Linked DNA regions of Mus musculus: regions 2, 3, 4, 5 and 6 are each reported to be linked to region 1. Evidence: microRNA targets listed by miRTarBase, many of them from high-throughput screens and not tested one by one. Region 1 holds a microRNA gene; each other region holds the end of a gene's coding sequence.

Region 1 (4,088 bases):
GGTGGCAGTGGAGCAAGGGCTTCAGGAGGCACTGGCTCCTCTCACTTGCCCTCCTCTCCTCCCCAGTATCACTTTGCTTCTAAAACATGGAACTAGCACAGGGATAGCAAGAGACAACATCTAGCTGACTCCGTGCCACCATGATAGATCCTGTTTAGTTTTGGGAAGAGAGGAGTTGATATGGCATCTTTGTGGCAGACTGCAGGTGGTAAGAGGACTCTGGTGGCAGTCAGGCCTAGAGAGCTGGGGTTTCATGGAGAAGTAACAGGGCTCCCATGAAGCCACACTGGGCTTTGGTCACATGGAGAACCAAGAAGCCAGAAAGGGACCTTAAAATTCAATCAACTCTGAGGCTCTTATTGCTTAGTCAAGACCAGCCCTCAGAGCTTTGTGAGAAGACCCCTCCTGCAGTATTGGGATGCCAGTGAGATCAGGGTCTGGACCTGAAGCCACAGTCAAGCTCCCATGTTCCTGGCTAGCACCTGCAGCCCTCAGCTCACCTTGGGAGGACCCTACAGACACCAGCAAATGAGGCTGGGGAAATGGCATGTGTTTGTCACAGAAGTGAAAGCCAAGGCTCCATAGCCTCGGGCCCAGGAAGAAGTCTGCAGAGTGCTGGAGGAATGCCAGCCAGTCTCCACTCACACCACCACACTCCTCCACCAGGCTTTCTCAAACCCCAGGCAGGACCTCGTGTGTGGAAACTAGAAAAATTTGAAAATATTGACTCCTGAGTGGGAGGTACCACACCTGAACCAACCCACAAACGCTGGCCGGCCTCCAGGGGAAGCAGAGATGGGGTAGGAACTCCCGCCCACCTCGGAGGGAGGCAGGGAGTGGGCGGGACTCACTTAAGGCAGTGAGGTGGAGGCCCCTCAGGGGCCCCTTGTGTTCCCAATGGTAGCTTTCCACTTTGGGGAAACTTCCACTCTGTGACTGACATTGAAAGCAACAGGGCTGAGAGCTCAGAGCTGCCCAGAGCACAGAGCTATGAGGACCTCACTCAGTCCTATAACGAGAAGCAGGAGGCATTTGGCAAATCAAGTAAGAGCAACACTTGGGACAACCAATCAATTAAGTACAACCGGGGAAAGTCCTTCTCCCAAGGCTCTGGAGAGGAAGAGCAGCAGCCGAGAAGGATAAAGGCGAGAGCAGACGAGAGCTGGCCAGGGCGGGACACCAGGAAGACACAGAGGGAGAGCCAAGCCCTCCCCAGCCTTTGGAGCTAATGTCCTTGCATCAGCTAGCACAGAACCCCTGAAGAGCACTTTTGGGATCTACACGCAAGGAGACAGACATCTTGCATTGAACATTTGCATTTTCTTTGTACCCCAGCGCTTCCCACACAAACCTCAGGCCCAGGACTGGAGCTCGGGCGAATATAAACCACTCCAAGTTTAGAAAGAGATTTTTAAGAGTTAAAAGAACAGAAATCAGCTATATGTCCTCCTCCAGGGCAGAGAGAAGACCTCCTTTCCCATGGGAGTAGGACTATGGCTTGGGAGTGAGAGGCTGGCCTGGCACTGGAGCCCGGGTACAGAGAAGTGCCCATGGCAGGCATTCTTGCTGGAGCCAGGTGTAGCCCATAGGACACAGAACCTGGTGGGTCTGCGAACATGCTCTCATATTCCCAAACATGTCTGCAGCTGCTGGCTAGGTTTCTGTGTTTTCTGAAAGATGTGTGTCTGGGCATCCAAAGCAGCCTCCGGCCTCTCCCTTCTCCTTGGCACAGGTCTTGATGCTGAGGGAAAGCCATGGTTTGGCGAGGGAGCCTACAATAGTTTTCATGGCTGTAAAGCTCAGTAGCTCACAGCATAGCAGGAAAGAAGACAAATGACTTGGGTTGAGTCCTTATCTTTCAGCTTCTCCCCCTACTGCACAACTGGGCACCCAGGACCATAGTTTACCGGACGGGCACATGCACGCACACACACCCACACAACCACCTGGGAACTGAGCACGGGGTGCAGAGAGCTCTGGGTCTTGGTCTGATTTCCTGCTCTGCGTGTGACCTGCTTTTGTCCCACACGCCCTGGCTACTTGCAGACCCCGTCAGTGAGGCTGACCACAAAGGCACAGTGTAGCAGAGTCCCCTGTTGGGATGGCCGTTTCTTGGAGCAGGAAGGCTAAGGGGCCCGCAGCTGCCCAAGGCTGGTGTAGACATCATCAGTTCCACTTAGCTCCTCGAAGACTGGAATCAGGTTCAGCAACTCTGTATCTGCCATGTCATCAAACCAGGACTGCACAGGCACCTGGGGCAGGAAAAAGTGACATTATCTGATATTTCCTTTCCTTTCCAGTGCCATTGGAGGCTGCTGGGCCACACAGGGGTTGTGGACTCCTCTGATAAAGCCCACGGGCCCAGCCTGCAGCCACCCCAGTCCCTGATGCGAGCACTCACTGCATTTTCTGGGTGGAAGATGTAAGATGCAGGGGAGTTGTCCAGGATGACAGTTTTCCTCAGGTCCCTTCCCAGGCGGCTGAGGTCCTTGACATAGCAGCCCTGGTGGAACACACAAGCCTCTCGGAACAGGCGGGCCCGGAACACCCCGCACCGGTCCAGGAGATCAGTCACAGGGTCAGCATACTGGAAAAGAAGGAGAAGCTTTAGCCTAGGCTGAGGGCTGGCTCTCCCCTGCCTTCTGCCCCTCCTGCAGTCAGGTACCTTGGCCAAGCTGGCAGTGAAGAGAACACATTCGAAGAGCTCCCCCATCCGTCTCAGGAACTCATCGACGTAAGGCCTCTTGAGCACATATACCTGGGAGACAGAGTGGATTGCTGTAGGAACCCCACAAGGCCAAGGACACAGCACCGGCTCTGCCTGTGCACTGACAGAAAAGCAAGCAGGCCTAGATACCCAGGTCGAGACACTGAGACCTCTGCCCCACCATGGACAGCTCTACCATGTTACCAGGCTTCTGCTGCCTCAACAGGCCCAACCCTAACCCGGCAGGAAGGAATGCACTCCCAGGAGCCATCTTCATTGAGGGCAGACCATGCGCTGCCTCCAGAAACAAGTAATCAAGAACAGGCCTCATGGACGGACACAGCCTATCCTGGATTACTTGAATCCAGCCGCAGCCTCCACAGTAGCCTTCTGTACGGGATTCCAGCAGGACGGCTTGTGTAGGTCCCATCTGGCAAGAACCACAAACTTCTTCAAACACACACCCTCGTAGGTTTGTGTGCACACCACCAGCTTCGAGGACTTGCTCGCTTTTAAAGGTTCTTCAACTAACTCGCCACCCAGTCTATGATCTGCTGCTTCTTCTTTCTTTCTTACTTCAGCCTGCACAAGTGTTCCTTAGGCCCACTCACTCACTTCCTTAAAGCAGCACAGGGGGTGTGCCCACCCCAGTCCCTCCTAGCCCACATCAGCACCAACTGAGCAGAGCCCTCCCATTTAGCAGCAGAACCCTCCATGCAGCTGCAAATGGATCTATCCATCACCTTCCACTTCTTAAGCCTCACAAACAAGCCCCTTCCTCACCAAGCATTGCTCTCCTCCCAGGCTCTCCTCAGATCCACATGGCAGGCAGCCCTCTCACTCAGGCCCCTTCTGCCCATGCCAGAGCCCCATACATTCTGTACATTTCTATTTCCTCAACTAGACAGCAGGGGGTGATGGGTGGAGTAAAGAGCCACAGCTTCGAGGCTCTGTACAGAAGTTCGTAAAGGGGCAGAGGGCTACGATGACAAACCCAGGACAGTCTCAAGCTGAACTTTCTCAGTCTGAAAACAGGTCTCATGCTTGCTAGGATGTCTGCATCACTGTCTCCGGCCCTCCCCTGGGCCGACCAGCATGCCTCTGGGCACATGGTCTCTCACCAATGCCTCGTGGTCCTTAACCCTAGGCAGCAGGGTGTACACGGCAGAGCCTGGACTCTGCCACTCTGACAGATGCATATGGAGCACTTACAGAAACCAGTGTAGAGGTCAGAAAGGTGTCATAGGAGGGGCCTGGGCCAGGGAAGACACATTCAGTAGCTCTTCACCAGAGGGCACAGGAGCAAATCCTAACAGCCCTGCACACAGAGCAAGGCTCGCCTGGTCTAAGCATGGACTGCATGGGCTGGACAGCATATGCT
Region 2 (4,087 bases), not on the chromosome of region 1:
CTTATATTTGAGGTCATGGGAAGGCTATTTTGGACTAGAAGAACTATAGACGGGGCTGACTAGCTTTGCCTGGTCTGACCCCAGAGGACAGCTCCTTAAGCCTGTCCGAGTTTAAGTTTCCTATATTTCACCCTTTTGAAGCATCAAGTCCTCTAAAAAGGTGAGGGGTTTTTTGTTTGGTTTATTTGTTTGTTTTTTAAACATGACTTGTAAGGGAGTATTTAGTGGCAAGCGCTGGGTACAGAGCATGCACTGGGACTGCCTATAAGACATCAGGGCATTCATTTCTTAACTGTTGCTATTACAAAGAGTTCTTATAACAAAACAATGTGTTTTTAAGAAGCCTAATTTACCAATTTGATATTTTGTTTCAATATTTAGGATTGTTTGGATAGATTCGACGATTTACACGCACCCACAGTTAAATGTCCTAAAAAATCAAAATCAGGAGCAAGACTTTTAGGCAAGAGTCCAGAAGATTCCCATAATCAGGCAAAACACTGTGCACGACCATACACTGCTCCAGAGCCTAACAAACGACGAGAAAGTGCCGCCTGGAAATTTGCAAGTCCTCGGATGGTTTCAGCGGGCTTACTTCACTTATATGTCACCCCAGCGTATGGAATCCGTAAAGTGCGGTCCAAAAGGAAATTAAAAGAGGATATTGAAAAGCGTCCGCTCATTAGTGAGATTATCCAGATGCTAGACAATGCAGAATGATATGTAATGCCACCAGTCAGAATATAATTTCTCCATTAACAAAATGGTTTGGAGATCTATCCTTGTGTGATAGAAGTCAGCAACTAAATTTCATCTTGTTAGACCATTTTGTTATAATTAAAGTGAAAAATAAACATTCTACAGAAACGTGTTTTTGTTTATAAGCCTTGCAGAACAAACTAAAAAATGTATATTCAGTTGGTGTTCATTAGCATTAGTTTTGCACCCCAGTGCTCCTCTTTTGGGGTGAAGTAGTCTTTAAGTTCCTTAGCATTTGTGGCACTTGGTTATTGCTACCCGCCTAGTTTGCCAGTTCTCCATTTGCATCTGTCTGTGCTTAGCAATGGAACTTAACTTAGCTCTAGTTACATTTCTAGATTCAACAGTCTATAGTTCTCTGAGCTGGTAGAACTTTTGTTCATTTTAATATCATGTACTGCTCTTCCAGGTAGAAAGAATGCAGGGACTACTTTTATTGAATGGTGGGTCCAGGCTAAGAAGCCAAAAGGAACAGCAAGAAAGGCCCAAAGCTAGTAAATACAAGAAGTGCTCCCAGTGTTCCAAAAGACTTCAGAAAAGGAAGAGCCAGCTGCCGCTATGAAGAGCAGAGGCAAGGTCACTGTGAGGCCCATCTCCCTAGCACCACTCAAAACAACAAAAGTGATCCTAGCTGTGCCAGAGGAACAAGGTAGGCACAAGAAATACAGTTGTAGTGAAGCAGAGGAGAGTGAAGAAAAGCACTGGGAGGTAGCAGGCCACTGGTCAATCGTAAGGAAGAAAACCACTGGTCAGGCTTTATTTAGCAAAGACATATTTCCCAGAAGGACATCTCAAATTCCTGTACCCCACTAAGATTTTATGACAACATTGTCACTTGCAAGCAGTATCTCTAAAACATTTCTCCATTGATATCTCTGAAGTTTTCCCTGATCAATTGCTATTATTATCCCTAATAACATTCCCCAAATAATACCCTCCTGCCTGACTTTGAACATGGATTTAGCTTTTTATAGCCACTGTACTCAACCTCAACACTACCTTGGCCTTGATAAAGCCTGATAGCGTTTGGGCTAGAACGGTACCACCAGCACCTGTTTATTAGCTCATCTGGCAGACCTTGAGGCTTGTCAGTCTCCATAATTTCATGAGCCAAGTTGTAACATATCAACAGTAGGAGCTCTGACAGGCAACGTCCATGACACCCCTCCTACCTTTGGCATCTGGCATGTGCAGGACTTTCTCAGATTGGGAGATGCTAAGGCATTGAGTGGGATGAAGTACAACTCCCTCTATGGCAGCTGCTCAGTGCTCCAGTGGACCTGTTGTCTCCTTCCTCTATGGCCCACTCTAATTTCTCTCACCTCCACTTCCCACCTCCGCAGGTCTTGGCGGCTGTGTCGATAGAGAAACTCTAACGTTCATACTTGAGGCAGAGGTATAGCCAACAAACATGAACAGAATTGCTTCTAACTGCCTATTTAGACTGAAGACAATCATTTTACAGTAACTTCCAATCTATATAGTCATATAGATGAAGAAAACCAACTGACATAGACCCCAGTTTATTACAAATTCAATTACAAACCACTTTTAAGACACTATGCTAGTTTGGATGAAAAATGTGCGATATGGTCTCATGTATCTGAACACCTAGTTGGTGTTGGTGATCAGCTCTTCGGCGATGCTCTTTGCCCTACAGGAGGAAGTACGCTGCAGAGGGTGCTCTGAGAGCTTGTAGGCTTGCCCCAGTTCCAGTTCCCCCTCTCTGCTTCCTGTGATGTAGCTGAGATAGGACCTCTTAGCTCTCTGCTCCTGCTGCTTTGCCTTCTCTGTCAGTAAGGACAACTAGCCCTCTGCAACTCTTTTGATTGTGGGATTTTATCATAGCAACAAAAATGTAACTAAAACACAATATCTCCTGCTAGGGACGCAGGGCCATTAACAACAGCATGGGCTTCAAGGTTTACCCCACTACAGAAACAAGCATATAAAAGGCCAACATGCCATTTGTCTCTAGGAGATTGCCTGAAGTTTATACCATGTTATGTAAATTATGTGTAAAAAAGAGATTCTCTCAGCAAACCAAATTAGAATCTGTGTTCTAGTTTTGTTAAGCCACACAAAATATATAAAAGAGATGTTTAATTTTATACATTTTTATTGAGCTCCCACAGGGTGCATGAATTAATGATCTATAATTTACACAGGTAGAAAAGTGTTGTTAGCCCCTTCCCCTTTAAAATGCAAATTGCATCTTCTCTTTATAGTTCAAGTGAATTATTTAATGTGAGCAAGGCTCAGTTTGATGTTGCCATATGTAAAAGGAATAGTACAAACATTTTCCCTTCTCCAAAAAAGGGCTTTATACCAGAATAAACCAGCCTGTTCATCTACCAATAGCTGATCAAAAAGGCTAGTGAATCTGGAAGAGAAGATGCTCTGGAAGCAGTGTCCTCCGAGGAAGGGTTCATTCCCCAGAGAACAGTAAAATGTAGAAGAGAATTAACTAGCTCAAAAGTTACACTGAGATCCAGAAAGTACCAGTCACAGCTTAAAAGGTGGAAAAGAAGCGGGGGATGTGCGGAAGGGCGGGCGAGCGGACACTAGCTGAGCTGGGCAGTAACTGACGAGGAAGTCGTGCGGGTGCTCTGATCTGGGCAGAGAGGGTAAATCCACGCCCCATGAACAGAGTGGTTTAACTGATCGATTCTCCAGTGCACCAACTGTATTTTCAAGTATAGATTTGTCATTTGTACCTAACAGGACCGAAGACAAGCAGCAAGGAGAGGCTGTCAAGTATAGAGGACATGAAATGATTTGGCAACCCTAGAATTCCCACACTGGGTCTTTGTCATCAGGAAACTGGAATTCCAGCTCGCTCCACGGCGACACTGGCTGCAGTGACGCTGATGGCCTGTTATAAGCAGGTGGCAACAGGGGAAGTATGGAATCCTGGCTTTCTTCTTTCATCTGTTAAAGAAACTTAAAATAGTGACATGGGCACAGAGACTCAACACAAATTTTATAAGCAATAAATAACTTTTAAAGAAATTTTAAAACTTTAAAATTATTTTTAGGTCTTTTCCTTTTAAATGCTTCTAGTTCTGACAATCGAGAAAACCAAAGACTTAAAAGCTAAATAAACTAATTTTAAGCAGAATTATTCTGCCCTGCCATTATTTCTAGGTAAGACAGACACCAGTTTTAAGTTAATGAAAATATAGTGTGTGTAACATATGTTATTTTTACTGCTTTGTTTTTGAAGAATAAAAATCTTTTAAATATTCTATATATAATTAAGGCCACTAGATGGCTCACCAGGCAAAGGTGCCAAGGGTGTTTTACACCGGTACTTGAAAATCTAAGC
Region 3 (4,088 bases), not on the chromosome of region 1:
ACAAAATGAAATACGGTATGTAAACTACATGCATTACCATGCTGGAATCAAGAGTTCAGGTGTGTAAGCTGAAGCACACACTTTAACTTTCTCATACAGATCTTCAAAACAGGAGAAAACCTGTCCTTACCGAGTCCTACGGTGAAAACTAGACAAGAAACACAAGCAGACACAAAATGCTTGGCATAGGGCGTCACATGCACCACACAGTCTAATGTGAGGCTGGGAAGAGCTCAGAGGTAAAGGAGGCCCTGGGGGGTGGGGGCAGTGAACCTATTTCCTTAAAATAGCTAGTATTAAAAAGGTGTTGCCGGGTATGGTGGCGCACGCCTTTAATCCCAGCACTCTGGAGGCAGAAGCAGGCGGATTTCTGAGTTCGAGGCCAGCCTGGTCTACAGAGTGAGTTCCAGGACAGCCAGAGATACACAGAGAAACCCTGTCTCGAAAAAAAAAAAAAAAGGTATCAAGCTGGGCAGGGTATTACATGGCTGTAATTCCAACTGCTCACGAGGCAGAAGAATTGAACTGGAGGTTAGCCCGAGATAGCAAGACCTCCATCTAACAAGAGATTGACCAAACTATCAAACTCATTAATGAGGAAAATGAAGTTCAGGGAATCAGAGGCTAAAGAACTTTCTTTTGTTGTTGTTCTTGCTTGTTTTTAAAAAGGGTCTCCCTATGTAGCTCAGACTGACTTCAAACTTGCCACATAGACTAGGCTGGTCAGAACTTCGGACCTGTTTGGTTTTGCCTCCTGGATTAAAGGTGTGCACAACCATGTATGACTTAAAGGAATTTCTCAAAAACAGCAGAAAAGGGATTTGAGGTCAGGAACATCCTAAGAACCCAAGGCACGCGTCCTTACACAGCCACGTGTTTCAGGCTCTATCTTTATGAAGATACATATCCTAACTTCCTTTCAAAAAACAGGACAAGATAACAAAGTTTGTTTATAGAATTAGCATTCAACATTTATTTAAGTCTCTATAGTACTGTAAGAACCCTTTATACAGGATAATGTATGCTGATGGCAACTTGCCCTCCTCCTACCATATGCACACGATCAAGAACAGCACAAAGTTTCAATGCAAAATGATATAGTACACATTTTTACTTATTAAAGTTTATTATCTTCATAATTACAACAGTAATTTATAAGTTTGAAACATGAGAGAACATCTATGAAGAGAGCACAGATAAAGCTGAACAAGTACATAAAAGGAAGATGGTTAAAACTCTGTCTTTGTTTCAAGCGCAGGCTTTGGAGCCAGGGTCAACACCATAAAACATCACAAATGGCTCTTAAGACATTCATTCTATACACTCAAGCATGGAGATATAGATATGTTTATGTCATATTACATACTTTAGTATGATATTGGCCCACTGAGCACACACATCTTAACAAAGGATAAGAACCTCTATGACCCAGCTAAGCGCACAGAAGATTAGGGCACACTTACTACACATCAAAAGTTGCTGTTTATAAGTTATAGATATTTAATATTTCCAGAGTGTTTTTTATTAAAAAAAATTAAAGCATTTCAAACATTTTTCACTTTTCTCAGTGCAAACGAAGGTTATTCAAGTCAACTTACCTTTCTCCTGAGGAGTGAGAGGAAGGGGCAAACAGGAACACCACCCAACCTGACCTGCTCATCACCCTTTGCAGCAAGCACTTAGGCCACGGAATTAGTTATCACAATTAAAGCCTTGTGATTACGATTCAGCCCTTACTTCATGTTTTAACTTTTATGCTGAAATATTTATTTACAAAAGTAGAAAAAAGTTAGCAGTGCAAGAAAGTGGTTGAAGTTTGTTTTAAATCCCAGCTATCCAATAGTATGTGGAAAAGAAAAAAAAGCACCATTTCAAAATGGTCTGATTAGACACTAGAATTTACTTATAGGCCAGGCAGTAAATTACTCTAACAACAGTTCAATACCACCTTAACTTGGCTATCCTAAAGAATTTTAAATAGTTTGTAGGTGCATTTTTGTTTATCTTGGTATTACAAACACTAAATTAGTAACTCTTATCTAAAAAATTACAAATTATAGTTTACTTCAAATCCATTTAAAATCCAGCTGTCTGTCAGGCCAGTTCAGCAGAAGATGGGCTTTTAACAAAAGTAGGGCTCTGATAATTTGGCAACTTGGTTTATTTTTCTCTCAATTTAAAAACTAGGATTTTTTTGGGGGTGGGGTAGCTTGTCAATTTTATTGGTGAGACAAATAAAGCAAATAAAGAAATTTAAACTACAAAGATGGACAGAAAGTAAGAGGATATAACAAATGTTATTTCTTCCATTTGTATCACTGCAAATAGCTGGGCCTTCACTAAAGAAACAAAACACATAATGAATACCAAAGTACCTTCCAATTCTAGCTTCCTAGACTTCAGGTCACTTATGAACTACGGTCAGTGCAGCCACAAAGGCAAAATGGGTACAGGCTAAGTGTTTGCTTAAACGGATAGGTTATATTTTAAGTTACAAATTTTCCTCACTAGCACTTAAAATGAACATATCCTTACAAATTTTATTTGTAAGAAATTGGTTTGTTTGTTTTTAACTAGGAAACATGTCGTGAGGTATCTGTTAATCGTAAAATTCTTTAAGTCCAGAGAAAATTGTTCTAAAAACATGTTTCATATACAAGGCTTTAATACTTTTATTTAGGAATTACTTGCGGCTGGAGCAATAATGGTTTAACTTATCCAGTTTTCAATAGTGGAGTAGATCTATGCAGAATATTTTCCCCTGTCTCTAAGTAACTTAACTATATTTTCTCCAGAAGTACATATAATGCACTTTAAACTGACTAATTTGTACCGATCAGAAGAAACAGGATACTCTTTCCCTCCCCCTCCTTCAAGCACTCAGCTCAGGGAGAATACTTGCACACTTTCAGAACTCCAGTCGTTGTCATAGTAACTACAGGACAAGGGTAGCACAGCGCAAAACTACATCTGCTAGGTTCCAGAAGGCAGAGGCTTGATGCTCTAGCTTTACAGGGGCTAGTGCAAGCAGGCAAGAGCTCACTATAAATGCACACCAGAACAGGGGTCTAGGCAAAGCCGTTTAATTAGGGTACTGCTTTTGGAAGAAAAAATAAAAGACACATTTGAAATAGCACCCCCCCCCAAAAAAAAAAAAAAAAACAAACTAGACTTTTGTCACATTTCTAGGAATCTCAAACCTTTTGTATCCCATGCTCATAGGTAGTTTGATGCACATGGTAAATAGCTTCAGTGTTCCAGAGAGCACTGTACTGCTGACAAAGGACAGATAACTCTTCATGCTTCTGAGATCTCAGATTTGCTAAGTGCAATGGCCAGTTCCAAGTCTTCTTGCTCCTGCTGATTTAGTCTGGCAAGCCTCTGTTCTTCTTCCCGCTCACTTTCCCTTTTTGCCCATTCAATCATATCTTCTTCAGAGGGATACTGCCATTTAAAAGATCCAAAGAATGAAGGAATTAAAAAATAAGCTAAGACATACAAAAGACCTTTTATAAAAGAGTGCTAACTACTTGTTTTACCTAAAGGAATAGTACTAATTCCTTGTTTTTCTGAAAATGTATTTTAACTACTTACTGAGCTCTGGTTTACTTTAAAATTTTAACACAATCTATGGGAAAATAAGTCTATAAAAATATAATAAGGCCTATAAAGTACGCCATTAAAATCATCACCTTAAAAAGTAGCAATTCCAGGCATGGTGGCATATGCTTGCAGTCCCAGAACATAGGGGACTGAGGAAGAAGGAAGCCAATCTGGGACACAGTGATATTTTCTCTAAACAGGTTAAATGCTTAGGATAGAATAGGATATTTAAAAACAGGAGTGGTCTAATCTTTCACTTCACCATAAAATCCTCCCTTCTGGATTTATTTTATTTTATTTTATTTTATTTTATTTTATTTTATTTTATTTGAGATGGACTATCACTAGGTGGCTTATGTTGGCCTCAAACTCATGATCCTGCTGCCTGTGTCCTAGGTTGTGGGATTACAACCATATGGCAGCATGCCTGATTGACATATCATTAAAATTAATGCCACTGGTGATAGCCGCTTTACCTGGCCTCT
Region 4 (4,088 bases), not on the chromosome of region 1:
TAAAAAGGAAAGCCAACCCAGTACACACATCCACCACACACTGACCCCACTGCATTCATAATGCCAGGCCAGGTGGAGCCCAGAGGCCTTCTCTCTCCTAGAGTGTGCTTCCATGGGAAGAGGCTTCATTCACTGGGAGGGGCTGGTTGGTCCTTTAAAACCGTACTAACATTCCTTCATCTTTGGAAACAATGGCAAGGGGAAATCAAAACCTAATTTTGAAAGAGGGAAATAATGTCACCAATGTCCTGCCTGGGTGCCACTCTCACAGTGATGAGTGACAGCAGAGCTGACAGGGCCTGAGGCTGTGCCCCACACACAGAGGAGTGCCTTGTCCCTAATGTGGGCTCTGGCCAGCTGACCTGCTCCACAGGCTCTAACTCTATAGCCCCCAACACCCATCCGAGTACAGGGAGCCCAGAGCCAGGAGCCCTGTCCACTGGCCGCCATCTCCATCTCAGGGTCACTGCCGTGTGGTAGGATGTTGGACAGAGAAGCTAATGATCACCCCAAGGAGGTGAGCACTAGCTCTAGGGGTAAGCGTGAGGAAAAGAACAGCAATGTGGAGACTGTGAAGATACCTGCCCACTGCAGATGCCACACAACAAATAAACATGGGAGACTTCTCAAGTTCTGTCTGAAAACACACAGCACACACAAAGACAGTGACAACTAAAACCCAAGTGAATACTGAAGGAGGCTCTAGGCCAGCACAGCAACCCTGGAGTAGGTGTGACAATCTCCACAGTAGTGTCTCAGGTGCAGGGGGCCGGCCAGCACCCTTGAGCTTGGACTGTTATGTACACTCTATCTACATGCGGATACAGTATTTTAAATTAGGAGGCAAGCACTCGGATAAAGGTGTTACTCTACCAAATATCAGAAGATGAGGAAGAACAGAGAACAGTTAATAAAAGAAAATAGCTATATCACCTGTGCAGAGGTAATATAGCCCACTTATTCTTTAAATTAAAAGAAACAAACAGAAAGAAAGTGTAATCCAAAAATACTAAGATAATCCAGATCTGCCCATTGTCCGACACATTCCTATGCACGTCAGAGCGACGGTGACTGTGACTGACGGTCTAAGGAGAAGCTGCTGCTGGAGAGGAAAGCCCTGAAGACGCTGTGTAGTCGTTTGGCACCCAGCACTTCACCGAGAATGCAAGGCTGCTTTTAGTACCAAACCAAGGCGCAAAGCGACGACATAAGTTAGAAGCAGGGCTTCTCCTGACAGTCCTTGCTGTGTCCTTCGTGGGAACGTGTGCATGGGAAGCGCTGGGGTCTTCACTGAAGGGAGGGACATGAGCTGCTGCTCTACTTGCAGTGGAGAGCTAAGGAGTCCTTCTCCAAGTAGAGCTGGGGTGCAGTGAGAATGTCAGGGCTTGAGGGGTGGGGCTGCTCTGTATCTACCCAGCATCTGGAACCAGTCCAGCCCCAAACTCAGCTGTGAACGAACTCCCTTAGGCATGTGATAGCCATATAGCCAGTAGTTCAAGACCAGGAAACCCTGAAGAAGAAAGGAGAATGACATTATTTAACTAGACAAGACATGGAAGGGTCACAGAGGGCAGGTTCAAGAAGGAAAGGGGAAGACGGGGGTAGAGTGGGGTGTCAGACCTCCTCCTCCATCCCTTCCCCGTGTCATTACACTTTTCTGACTATGCCTGGTGAGGAGCTCTGTGTCTTCTGCCTCTGTAAACCTCTAGAGTCATGTGCTCTGAAGACATCACTCAATGACTACTACCAGGTGGGTTTGTCAATGGACTTACAAAAGTTCTTCCAAGAGAAAGTAGTGGGGAGATGACTGTGTAGGCAGAGATGGTGTGGACAATGGAAGGCCAGGAGCAGTAAACCTTCTGATGGCCTCCCCCTCTAACCCCCCACAGCAGATGTCACCAGCCCACCCTGCCCTGCAGTCCTTTGGGGTCCACAGCCACTCTAAAGGGAGCCCTCACCTGTCACTACTAATGAAACCCAGATGTTCGCAGCAGCACAGAGCGACCGTTCCTGATGCGCACCAGACCCTTAAAGCACTGCACAGGAAGTGGCTGACATGTGTGAGTCCCAGCTCCTCAACTATGCCACAGTGACATGTGACAAATGAGCAAGGTAAGCTCCAATCACACGGATTTTATGGAGGTTGGAATTTTAATATCACAGAGTTTTTATATGGCATGAATTTTTAAAATATTTTTCAAGTGTTTAAAGTGTAAGATCTACTTTTGGCCTGCACTGGCAGAAAAACAAAGCATACAGTGGGTCAAATTCAATGCTTGGCTACAGTGTGTTAAGCCCGAGCAAGGTAAACTTCTTGAGAGTCATTTATGGGACTCAGAATCTAGACTAAAAAATATCTGAAACAGATTAAAGGGGTGTGCCAGCACCACCTAGCTTACTCTTTAGTAAGCTAGAAAGTACATAATAAAAAGCTATAAAGAATTAAGCAATGCTTTTTTTTTTTGAGACAGGGTTTCTCTGTGTAGCCCTGGCTGTCCTGGAACTCTCCTTGTAGACTAGGCTGGCCTCGAACTCAGAAATCCACCTGCCTCTGCCTCCTGAGTGCTGGGATTAAAGGCATGCGCACCACACCCGGCTAAGCAATGCTTTTTAACTAAGAGAATTTAATCACAAATCTTTAAACAGTCACAGAAGTAAGGGTATTTATGAAGTGGACAAAGCGGGATGTGCGCAGAATCTAATGGATCCCGGCAAATCTTCCAGGTAGGAATATTGTTCCCAGTAGTCATGGATATCTGGGATTGGGCAAATCGGGCTTCTCTCTTTCTATCTAAAACAGCATCTTGGTGAGCAAAACAATCTGTCACCAACAGTATGACAGCGGCTCTGTAACTAGAGCGGAGGATTTGCATTCTGAAGCACCTGTCACGCCTCACCATGAAGAATGCACAGCATAATTAAGTGATAGCTCCTTGTGGAGATGGTAAAGCAGAGTGGACTTGGTGATGGGAAGAGGAATTTTGGATGGTCCTGTGTGCGCGCATGCATGGGCATGACTACACCCATCTGCCTGTCTGTCTGTCAGCCACAGAACTGAAAGACCAGGTAAAAAGGTTGATTTCTGCAATCCAAAAATCAAACCTGAAAAACTATCCTGGTGTTAAATGGCTATGATCATGAAGGAACTCATTTAGGTAACCAGTTTTTTAAAAACAGCAACCACAGACATCACTACCTGTCAATGACGACGAGAGAGCCCACGATGTGCAGGGCTCTGTTGGGAGCCTATTGAGACCTTACCTGCTAGTCTGGTAGATGCTTTCATTCACATCACTAAGGAACCTCAGTTTCCTAATTCCCAGAGGGAAGGCAAAGTCCAGAAGTGAGCGAGGTCTTGAAGAGCCCAGGCAGGGCTGGAGTTTGAGCACACTCACCAGATTGGGCCAAAGTGCAGGCTGCTATCTGGAGATATAGGTGTAGGTTCTGGAGGGAGAGCGGGTCTCATTCTGGGCACTGGGAGGCACATTTAAGAAATCCCAAATCAAAATAGTGTCATCATGGGAGCTGCTGATGATCTGAAACTCATCAAACTGCAGCCGAAACACACGTCCAGAGTGTTCCTATGGAAAAGCGGCTTGGTTAACATGTAGGAAGGATGGCTTTACAGCCCCTATCACCAGAGCTGGGATTTAGCTCAGGCGGGAAAGTCAGCACTTTTCAATGCCTCCTGCGTGGTCCCCCCTCCCCCCTCCCCCACCCACACACACACACTGAGCCGCATCCTTTCCCTGAGAACAAATGTTCTGCTTTCTAGAATATACGCCTCTAGGTTTTTCTTTTTCTTTTTCCTTTAAAAAAAAAAAAGATTTATTTATTTATTTTATGTATATGAATACACTGTAGCTATCTGCAGACACACCAGAAGAGGGCAACAGATCCCATTACAGATGGTTGTGAGCCACCATGTGGGTGCTGGGAATTGAACTCAGGACCTCTGGAAGAGCAGTCAGTGCTTTTAACTGTTGAGCCATCTCTCCAGCCCCTAGGTTTTTCTTTTTTAAATTAAACATTATGTCCTACATTATAGCCTAGTAATGTGAAGAAAAACAGAGGCTGTCAGAGTAATA
Region 5 (4,088 bases), not on the chromosome of region 1:
AGGGGGAAGCTCTGGAGCTCTCCCAGGAAACACCCTGGAAGTCCTTTTCTCTTTGACCGTCACTTGGGTCCATTTTTCAACATCTCAAGGACCTGAAGTGATGCTGTCACATCCAGCACCGCAAGTCACCTTCCTGTGCCCGATCACTAGCCCAGCTCTGCAGTGAACCACATTGGCAGTAGTCTGCCAGGTGTTTCCTCTGGTGGAGGACACTACCTGGCTGTGCCCAGGAAACAAGCCCCAGAGAGAGCCGCCTCTCTCCCCAGTCTGACTGGCTCTTCAGGATGATGTTAGTGTCTCTGAGTTTCTGCAGGGAATGGATTTCAGGACACCGCCCCCCCCAACAGCCGACAAAGTCTGCAGGTGCAGAAAGTGATACGTTCTTTATACATTGTCTCTGCACACCCTCCCTTATGCTTTAAACCATCTTTAGATGACATATGATGCCTAGTGGAACCGAAAGGAGCCGTCCATACTTGCAGAACCGTGTTGTTTGGGGCAAAATGACCAGGGAAACAGTCTGTACATGTGTAAGTCAGAGGCAGTTTGGGAAGGATACTTTTTATCTAAATGGATTGGATTGGCGATGCAGAAGCCAGGACTATGGAAGGCTGGCTACATTCGTAAATTGGAAAAGGCATCTGATGTTCATTGGCGTGGCCGTTAGGACTAACAACCTCTTGCTTCTCTCTTCCCAGCGCCACTTAGCCCCAGAAGTATTTTGGGAGATCTTTGGGATGTCCATACAGGAATTTGACAAGTTACCTCTTTGGAGACGCAACGACATGAAGAAAAAAGCTAAACTCTTCTAAGTCCCTCGAGTAAACGACAATCAGGAAACGAACTCTCAGTGGCGGTGGTGCGTAGAACATTATGCTAAGGCCCAGAACTGATCAGAGAATTTGTTCACCACCGTCTCCAGGCAGCAACGCCAAGGGCAAGTCTGATCTCAGCACCCACGAGCCACATCCTGGGCCAAGCAACAGTAACCCTTGCCAAGCAACGACGGGGTAGAATTTCTATGTTCCCAAATTCAGCAGTAACGTCCACATGGGACCTTTTCACGTGACTCTGTGGGGCTTCTTTCTCCTTTTCACTTTCCCCTTTAACCCATGTCTGACTTAGTGCTGCCTGTGTTGGTAAGAGTCAGCAAGTGCCCTTAGGAAGCCACACGGAGGGGATGCTGGGAGTCCTGACATATGAATCTATTTATTATGTAGTACTGTGGCAGAGAAGGAATCCAGGGGCCTGCACTGATCGGGTAGCAGCTACTTTGCCTGTCCTTGGCCGTCTCCCTCAGCTCTGCCTGGGCTCCGAGGGAGATGGAAGTCCGTCAGGGAACAGGTAGTTCTAAGTGCGTGGCTAAATGATTTGGACAAGCTCCTGTGTGTGCTGAGACCTGGCTGGCCAGCTGCTAGAGGGGAAAAACAATTAAGACAATGGAAAAGGAAAAAGGAATGAAGGAACCTCCCTCCCTGAAAGCTTTTCCTGCTTCTGAGACTGTGTTCAGCCCTTTCCCCTATAAATTGATAGGAACTGTGTGTCCACCTTTCCAAAGAAAGGAAAGACAAAAAGAGTTTCCAGATTGGCCCAGCTGCTGATAGGTGATTTTTTTTGCCCATGAATCATGTATCTCTTAGAGAAGAAAATTCTATGCCCTACCACATCACAAGATCTCCTCCTCAGTGTCTGTCTGTCTGTCTGTCTGTCTGCCTGGCATCTGATGGGTCAGGTCAAGCCCGTGCTGGTTTTGACTAAGGGTAGAGACTAAGGGGAGACTTGTTTTTCTGAAGTAGACTGCTTTCACTCGGCCTGATGGACAAGCCCGCGTGTGTTCACGTCTGTGTGTAACTCACCCAGAGCAGATCTGTGAGTCTCGATGTGCTTTGTAATCTCTGCTTGAGTGTTGCCCATACTGGGCTGTGGCTTTGAAGGTCATTTGCACAAGAGCACGTGACCCAGAGATGGAGAAGTGAGGTTCAGGGAGGGTGCTTAGAGACCAGCCTGTTCTTTGAGCTGTAGAGACTCATGCTGGATTCAAACTGAGAACCCTGGAAGGAAGGCCAGGCTAGTTTAGGGCTCAGCGCGTCTCACCAGAGCCCTTCCATACTCTGTGACTCTCAGTGTGAATTGGAATGCAATTCTTTCCCTAAAATGTGTGGAAAAGGCCACATCATGAGGACTGGTGTGAGTTGGGGTAGGGTCCCCAGAGTCTCAGGAAAGAAGCTAGATCACACTGATTCTCCTGCCGTGGATATGAGTTAAAACCAAGTGGTAAAGCACTTGGATTCACCCCCAATGACCACTCAGCACAAAATGCAGAAATTCCTTCTGAAGGACTAAAGCGACCAGCTGTCTGCCACACCTGCAGTAACACAGAGCAACAGATTCCCAGCCCGTGATGAGAGCCTGTAGCTCGTGACACACTTCTTTGGGTTACTCTGCTACATTTCTGTAAGAGAGTTAAGTCTGAGAACTAGTCTCGCAAGTGTATCTGTTAGTACACTCTGCAAGAGGACTGGACTGCTGGCCTAGGTATATGGATCTCACGCCTCTTGGGGAGACAGATTGCAAAAATGGGTTCCCTGCATGTCTCCGGCTTCTTCCCATGTTCTCATTGTTTTTCTCTAGCTACCCTACTCATCACTGGCTCCCTCAGCACCAGGCCTGTATAACGTGGTTCTCACGTTACCCTGGCAGCATACAGGATGGGGAGTCTGGTGTATTCAGTGTTCACAGTCAGCAGACATGGTGACCTGGTGGGAGACTTTATTTATCCAGTGTGGTGATAGCATGACCCTCCATGCTTCTTACTGGTTAATGCTATTTCTCACAATGATGCAGATTAGGAAAATTGAAGTATTCAGGAAACAGGGGTGGTTGCTAAGGTTCCGTACCTGCTCTTTATAAATTTATAGTGGCTTTATCCTGACATAGGAAAGTTCAGCTGCAGGGGAGGAGGAGGAGACAGTCTTCCTCTTTAAGTTACAGAGAGCCGTAAGCTAAAGGACCTGCCTAGGATTATAATATTTGAAGAATGAACTTTTAAATTCTTGCAATAACGAAACCCTGCCTCCTTGACTATTTGAACTCAGTTCTCCATCTAAACTGGGAAAAAAAACAAACAAAGAAACAAACAAAAAAAATAACATTCCGTATTAGCATAGTAGTCCAAATTGTATCAAGCAAAAAATGTATGGCTAGACAACACCAGTAAGAATCCTGCTGCTCTGGGGGAGGCGGAAGGAGAGCTGGAAAGTCTGGAGTATCGCTCCGTTCCCTGGCAGAAGGTTCCAGCCAGGAGGATGTGCTGAAGATGGTCTGGTCCTAACTGCCAGACACAATGTCCGTGACATTAAAGGCTCCACATGATTGACCACAGCATGGGAGAGCGGTGTTCTTCACTCGACTCCACCCTGCTGGACACAGGAAAATTTCAATTGCTAAAAAAAAATCAAAGCACTCATTCACTTGGGGGGAGGATCCTACGCAGGGGGGACTTGGTGCGTATATTAAGGGCTATATTTTTCTAGCATTTGACCTACTTGCGACTTGATACAGATTGCATAGCCTGAAAGAGGCTTCTGTGGCCACCTGGGAGTCTCAGTGTTTTCTTCAAAACTTCTCCAAGAGAGTCCAGGCTCTCACATCGTCTTCCTGTGCGACCTATTAGAGAGATGAAAAGCCTTTGAAAACAGCTAGCTCTGCATTTTCATACTAGTGTAGAGTTTGTTATGAAATATTTTTACTATGACTCCTTCAACAACTAAATACGAACTGCCTGTTCTCTAAACCTCAAGGAGAAAAACTGGAGTTAATGGGTAATAAGGTGCAAAATAAAGGGGTAAGGGGGGAGTTTTCTATCTGTCCTGTTCTCTGTTATCTCCAAGTCCTGATTCTGTTGCCTCCAGCCCGAGCCTCCTCTCCTCTTCTCTCCCGAGACACAGCCTCACCCGTCATTTCATTCTCTATCCACTGTCTGTCACCTCCAGCATGGAAAGGTTCAGCTGGAGACATTTCTGAAACAGACTACTTTACTTTGAAGCAAACGTCTTTTTTTTAAAGATTGCTTCACCAATGATGCTGTC
Region 6 (4,088 bases), not on the chromosome of region 1:
CACCACATAAGAGCAGGTGCTAATGCCGAGTCAAAACCTGTTGAGGCTTCAGCTAAACTAAGGAACAAATGATATCTATACTTAGGTGAATAAAACAAGCTCACTTGTTGCTTGACAACAGCACACAAAGGAAAAGTTATTTTCTCCAATGGAGTCTCCCTGAGTACACAAACCACTCAAGGGCAGGCCCCACGCGCAGCAGGAGATGGGCAACTCAAAATAAACGCAATGGTACTTTGGGGGGTTTTGTTTTTTTGGGTTTTGCTTTGTCTGTTTCCTGATGTTTTGGCCATTTCTCTCCTTGCTGGTCTTTTACTTCTATATTTTAGTTAGTGATTTTGTGCTTTAATGGGTTTTCTGGGTGCCTGCTCCTGTGTGCCCGCTCCCTGCTCGCGAGTGCATGCGTGTGTGTGTGTGTGTATTTGTGTGTGCTTTTACTTTTCTGTCTTGCTCTATCCTGTGCTCTGCTTTTGTTTTTATTTTTCCTGTTTGCTTTCTAAAGATTGAGATAAAGAGGCTCAGAGTTCCACAGAGAGGGAGGATCTAGGAAATAAGGGAGAAGTTACCAGAATGTTATATATTAAAAAAAAAAAACTATGTTCAATTAAAAAAAAAAAGAATTTACACTTACTAACACACAACTCATTTTAAGGCAACAGAGTTGTCTGCTAAACTCTAATGGGCTTCGATGCTCAGGATGCAATACACAAAGGGACAAATGTTTCCTGTCCCTGCACAATGCTCTATATCTGGACGCCTCTTATTAAATACATTTGTGACTGCAAGCTTGACACACATGACAACATGGCTTGAGGAGGTCACGGCCAACAGGTCCATATTTAAAACAAAAGCAGCAAGACCATTTTAGTGAAAACTACTTTTATTTTAAAATCAAGTGCACAGCACTCATCTAACCCTGCTGTGTAGACTTAGCACCATACTCACTGTTTGTAGTTAGTCATAGCACAGATATTTGGTTTGCGTTTTTGTACTTGAATAGTGTTTATTAGTGGACTCTGGTTAAGTCCTTTACACACATCATTAATCTCTTCACAGTACACATTTAATGATGGTCCAGTAATCTCAAAACAAAACAGAAAAAAAAAAACCTCTTAAGACTAATTAATAAATTAAACAAAACAACCCCCCGCCCCCCTCCCCAGCTAACTGTTGTTGAGTTGCATTATATACTGAATTCTCCTGTTTTTAAAAATAATCATGATTCTCCAGCCTCCCCATCCGGGTATGCAGCAATAGTCATCAATTATTTGACTCTACCCCCAAGAAGGATTAATCCAGTGTTCTTTAGCTTTTTAAATATAAACTGGAAAGTGTTAATAAGCTTCTTTAAAAAGGCAAGTATTCTTTGACAACAAGAATGACACATAACCAATCAATAAAAGCACTGACAAGACATTAAATCACCACAGGCACTGGCTGTTGTTTCAAGTTAGGATTCTCTCCCAATCTCTTACATTCATAGCATTACTGAGGTAGTTACAATACTCAACACTGGACTCCATGCTGCAGGCCTCTATCTGTGAACGGGAAAGAGACATTATCTTTTGAACCCACTTCCTCCTCCTAATTCAAGTTTTCTTAAGAATTATAAAAATCCAATTAGCAGCCTTTTTAAAGAGGAAAAGTGATACGTTCCTACAACAGTTTTCATGCTTGAAAACTGCCACAAGTGTTCTTACCTGAGTGGTTTTCATCACCAGGCCTTCTGTACGCTAAATATAAAAGTTAGCTTCCTTTTAAGGAAAGCACATTTCCGGAAGAACTCCTGTTGGCAGAAGCTGCCCACGGGCACTTCTCCTCCGGAGCTGCCTGTCAGTCCATCAGGCTGTGGAGCCCTTCCGTCCCTTCCCAGCAAAGGCCACCGACTCCTGCTGCATACCCACATCTTTACAGCGAGCTCTCGCCAATAGACACTGTGTCTCATAGCTGCCACAGTTTCCCTTCTATTCAAGTGCTATCTTATAAAATCAAACACGCCTTACTCATTTTAAACCAGAAAGTGTCCCCCCCACCAGCTCCTTCCTCCTGCATGGATAAGACTACTATGCTTACAGTTCATCAGCCATCTTTTTACTTCTGAAGTCTGTCCTCCATACTTCCTGACAGTATTTTATGGCCAGGTTGCCCCGGGTATGACTATTACTGCTGCTTTCACTCACTATCAATACAAAGACTTGTCTCCCGGCAGGTACACAGCCAACCACAGAAAGTGGCTACTAAGATCAGCACTCCTGCTTGCCTGACTTGCTGGATCCCAAGGGCACTCACTGAACCACCCTCCCATAACAAAGTGCTGCGTCAGCCCACGCTGAGCACTACCCGAGCCATCCTGAACCCAAGAACAATCCTACCTGACTCGACTCTAGCACTGACACTTCATAGAATGCCTTCTCCTGAAAACTGCCTTCAGGAGCAACAGCCAATCACTGGGTGATGCCCAGCCTGTCCGTGCACGAACACAGGACCCACTGCATTCGTCCTGTGCCGTGATCGATTCTCATCCCAGCAGGAGCACTGCAGCCGATGTTGCACGGGTAGCTCATATTCTAATACTCCCAAGGCATGTCGGTTAGAGCCAAGTGTTTCCAAGTGCTACAAGGTCCCTGAGTTAAACGTGCTTAACCCTGAAGAACTGGGGCTGATCACTTAGTGGGAAAAGGCAGCAGAGCAAAACCAAAATTATGACCATGATTTCAAGGTATGGATCTGCTTCGCCCCTAATTGCAGTATATAAATCCAGCACCTGTATTTATGATATGAAGTTATATAAAAATCATCTGGATTTTTTTAACTGCACAGATTAGTATACGTAGCAACTGGTGAGTTTGAATTTAGAAACCTACCAGTAGGTCAAAAAAAAAAAAAAAAAAAAGAAAGAAACCAAAAAAAACCTCTGAGCTGCAAGATTAAAACAATTCTTCAAAAATTAATACTGCAACTTCCTTCATAAAAGATGGTTTGGCAAGTCCACAGATAAACACTAAGTCTTTGACATATATGTCAGCATAAGGCCAAAGCCCATAACAGGTCAAATCTTAGAATGGCAAATTTTCTGCTGTATTGAGCATCTTGAAATATTTGGACCATCAGTCAGGAACTGGGACATTTCTGTCACACAGGATTTGACACGTCAGTACCTGCAGAGCCCTCCTAAGCACTCATGGTACTGAAAGGGGTACTGGTACTCAGTCTTCCGGTGCCTCGGCCCGTTGCATTGATGTACTGATTGTATTCTTTCCTTCTGAAGAGGAAGACAAAAGGCTTGCTCCAGAGCTAACCACCTCAGAACAGTCTGTGGCCTGCATACATACGTCATCACCTCTCAAAGCATGGGGTAATACACGGGAAATGTTCGTTTATCTGGTAACTCCGGTTATAAGAAACACTGAGGCAGGGTTTAACTTCTACTGGTATTGCCAGGGACATCCCAACACCAGTCTGCATGTGGCCAAGGCCCTGAACGCTCGTTTGGAAGCCCGCGGGACAAGTCTGTAGCGTGTAAGACGAGGTGTGTGTGGTAGACACAATCTGCTGACGGCTGGGCTGTTCTGACACAGGATGCCGGTACTGCAGGGAGCTCTGATGGAGATACTGAGGCTGCTGGAAGTGAACCGGCCGGGAGGGCTGCGCTGTCTGGAACACAGTCAGCTGTGTCGACTGGGGAGCTGACTGTCCCCTCTGCTTGTTTGCTTCTTTCACGTCGTTATCGTGAGCACTGAGACAAAAGAAAGGGAAGAGTAACACCATTCGGGCAGGATGCAGCGAAGCCCGCTTCCCGCCTCTGCCACTGCTCACTCCAAGAACCACCACTGCTGCCACCTAGGTCACTGTCATTTCAACAAGTGACACCTTCCTTGTACCTTTCTCAAGTGTTCATCTTGGTATGAACAGTGCTGGTGGCTTTGAGGACTCTTTACAACTAGGAATTTGAGGTCACATCCTGGCAACCCTTAAATTCAGTGGTATGGAGAAGGGAATGGAGTAAGATCAGCCTGGACCGCTCCTTGTCCCGCCAAGTACTGAGGGTCGTACCAGTAACAGGATCACAGGCAAAGAATGCTCCTTGG

Evidence for each region. The annotated mature microRNA mmu-miR-26a-5p reads UUCAAGUAAUCCAGGAUAGGCU and lies in region 1 at 3,049-3,070, opposite strand. An mRNA with a match to its seed (bases 2 to 7 or 8) in the 3' UTR can be bound and repressed. Matches are read on the target gene's strand: a 7mer-m8 pairs with bases 2 to 8, a 7mer-A1 pairs with bases 2 to 7 and ends in A, and an 8mer does both.
Region 2: miRTarBase lists Stradb as a target of mmu-miR-26a-5p. Seed matches in the 3' UTR shown: 7mer-m8 at 3,513-3,519, 8mer at 3,451-3,458 and 7mer-A1 at 2,988-2,994.
Region 3: the mRNA of Eps15 is a reported target of mmu-miR-26a-5p. Seed matches in the 3' UTR shown: 7mer-A1 at 1,584-1,590.
Region 4: the mRNA of Fbxw11 is a reported target of mmu-miR-26a-5p. The part of its 3' UTR that is shown has no 7-base or 8-base seed match.
Region 5: miRTarBase lists Ablim1 as a target of mmu-miR-26a-5p. The part of its 3' UTR that is shown has no 7-base or 8-base seed match.
Region 6: the mRNA of Ccnj is a reported target of mmu-miR-26a-5p. Seed matches in the 3' UTR shown: 7mer-A1 at 1,968-1,974, 7mer-A1 at 1,589-1,595 and 7mer-A1 at 1,445-1,451.

What each region holds. Positions count from the first base shown.
Region 1 is chr10:126,994,525-126,998,612 of GRCm38, reverse strand. Mir26a-2 (microRNA 26a-2) reads right to left here and starts at 3,083; the gene lies at 3,000-3,083. It overlaps Ctdsp2 (CTD (carboxy-terminal domain, RNA polymerase II, polypeptide A) small phosphatase 2), which reads right to left. Exons shown (of 8, transcript NM_001113470.1): 6 at 2,666-2,758; 7 at 2,402-2,587; 8 at 1-2,252. The coding sequence ends at 2,127. Mir546 (microRNA 546) reads right to left here and starts at 173; the gene lies at 53-173.
Region 2 is chr1:58,993,896-58,997,982 of GRCm38, reverse strand. It overlaps Stradb (STE20-related kinase adaptor beta), which reads right to left. Exons shown (of 12, transcript NM_172656.6): 12 at 2,861-3,690. The coding sequence ends at 3,547. C2cd6 (C2 calcium dependent domain containing 6) reads left to right here. Exons shown (of 19, transcript NM_026600.1): 19 at 382-867. The coding sequence ends at 720. Among named protein-coding and RNA genes, the nearest start is that of Stradb, 22 kb to the right of the region's middle.
Region 3 is chr4:109,384,675-109,388,762 of GRCm38, reverse strand. It overlaps Eps15 (epidermal growth factor receptor pathway substrate 15), which reads right to left. Exons shown (of 25, transcript NM_007943.3): 25 at 946-3,444. The coding sequence ends at 3,298. Among named protein-coding and RNA genes, the nearest start is that of Ttc39aos1, 20 kb to the left of the region's middle.
Region 4 is chr11:32,741,952-32,746,039 of GRCm38, reverse strand. It overlaps Fbxw11 (F-box and WD-40 domain protein 11), which reads right to left. Exons shown (of 13, transcript NM_001271347.1): 12 at 3,396-3,581; 13 at 1-1,510. The coding sequence ends at 3,420. Among named protein-coding and RNA genes, the nearest start is that of Gm35723, 38 kb to the left of the region's middle.
Region 5 is chr19:57,033,948-57,038,035 of GRCm38, reverse strand. It overlaps Ablim1 (actin-binding LIM protein 1), which reads left to right. Exons shown (of 26, transcript NM_178688.4): 26 at 699-4,088. The coding sequence ends at 812. Among named protein-coding and RNA genes, the nearest start is that of Afap1l2, 27 kb to the right of the region's middle.
Region 6 is chr19:40,845,347-40,849,434 of GRCm38, reverse strand. It overlaps Ccnj (cyclin J), which reads right to left. Exons shown (of 6, transcript NM_172839.4): 6 at 863-3,736. The coding sequence ends at 3,337. Among named protein-coding and RNA genes, the nearest start is that of Ccnj, 16 kb to the right of the region's middle.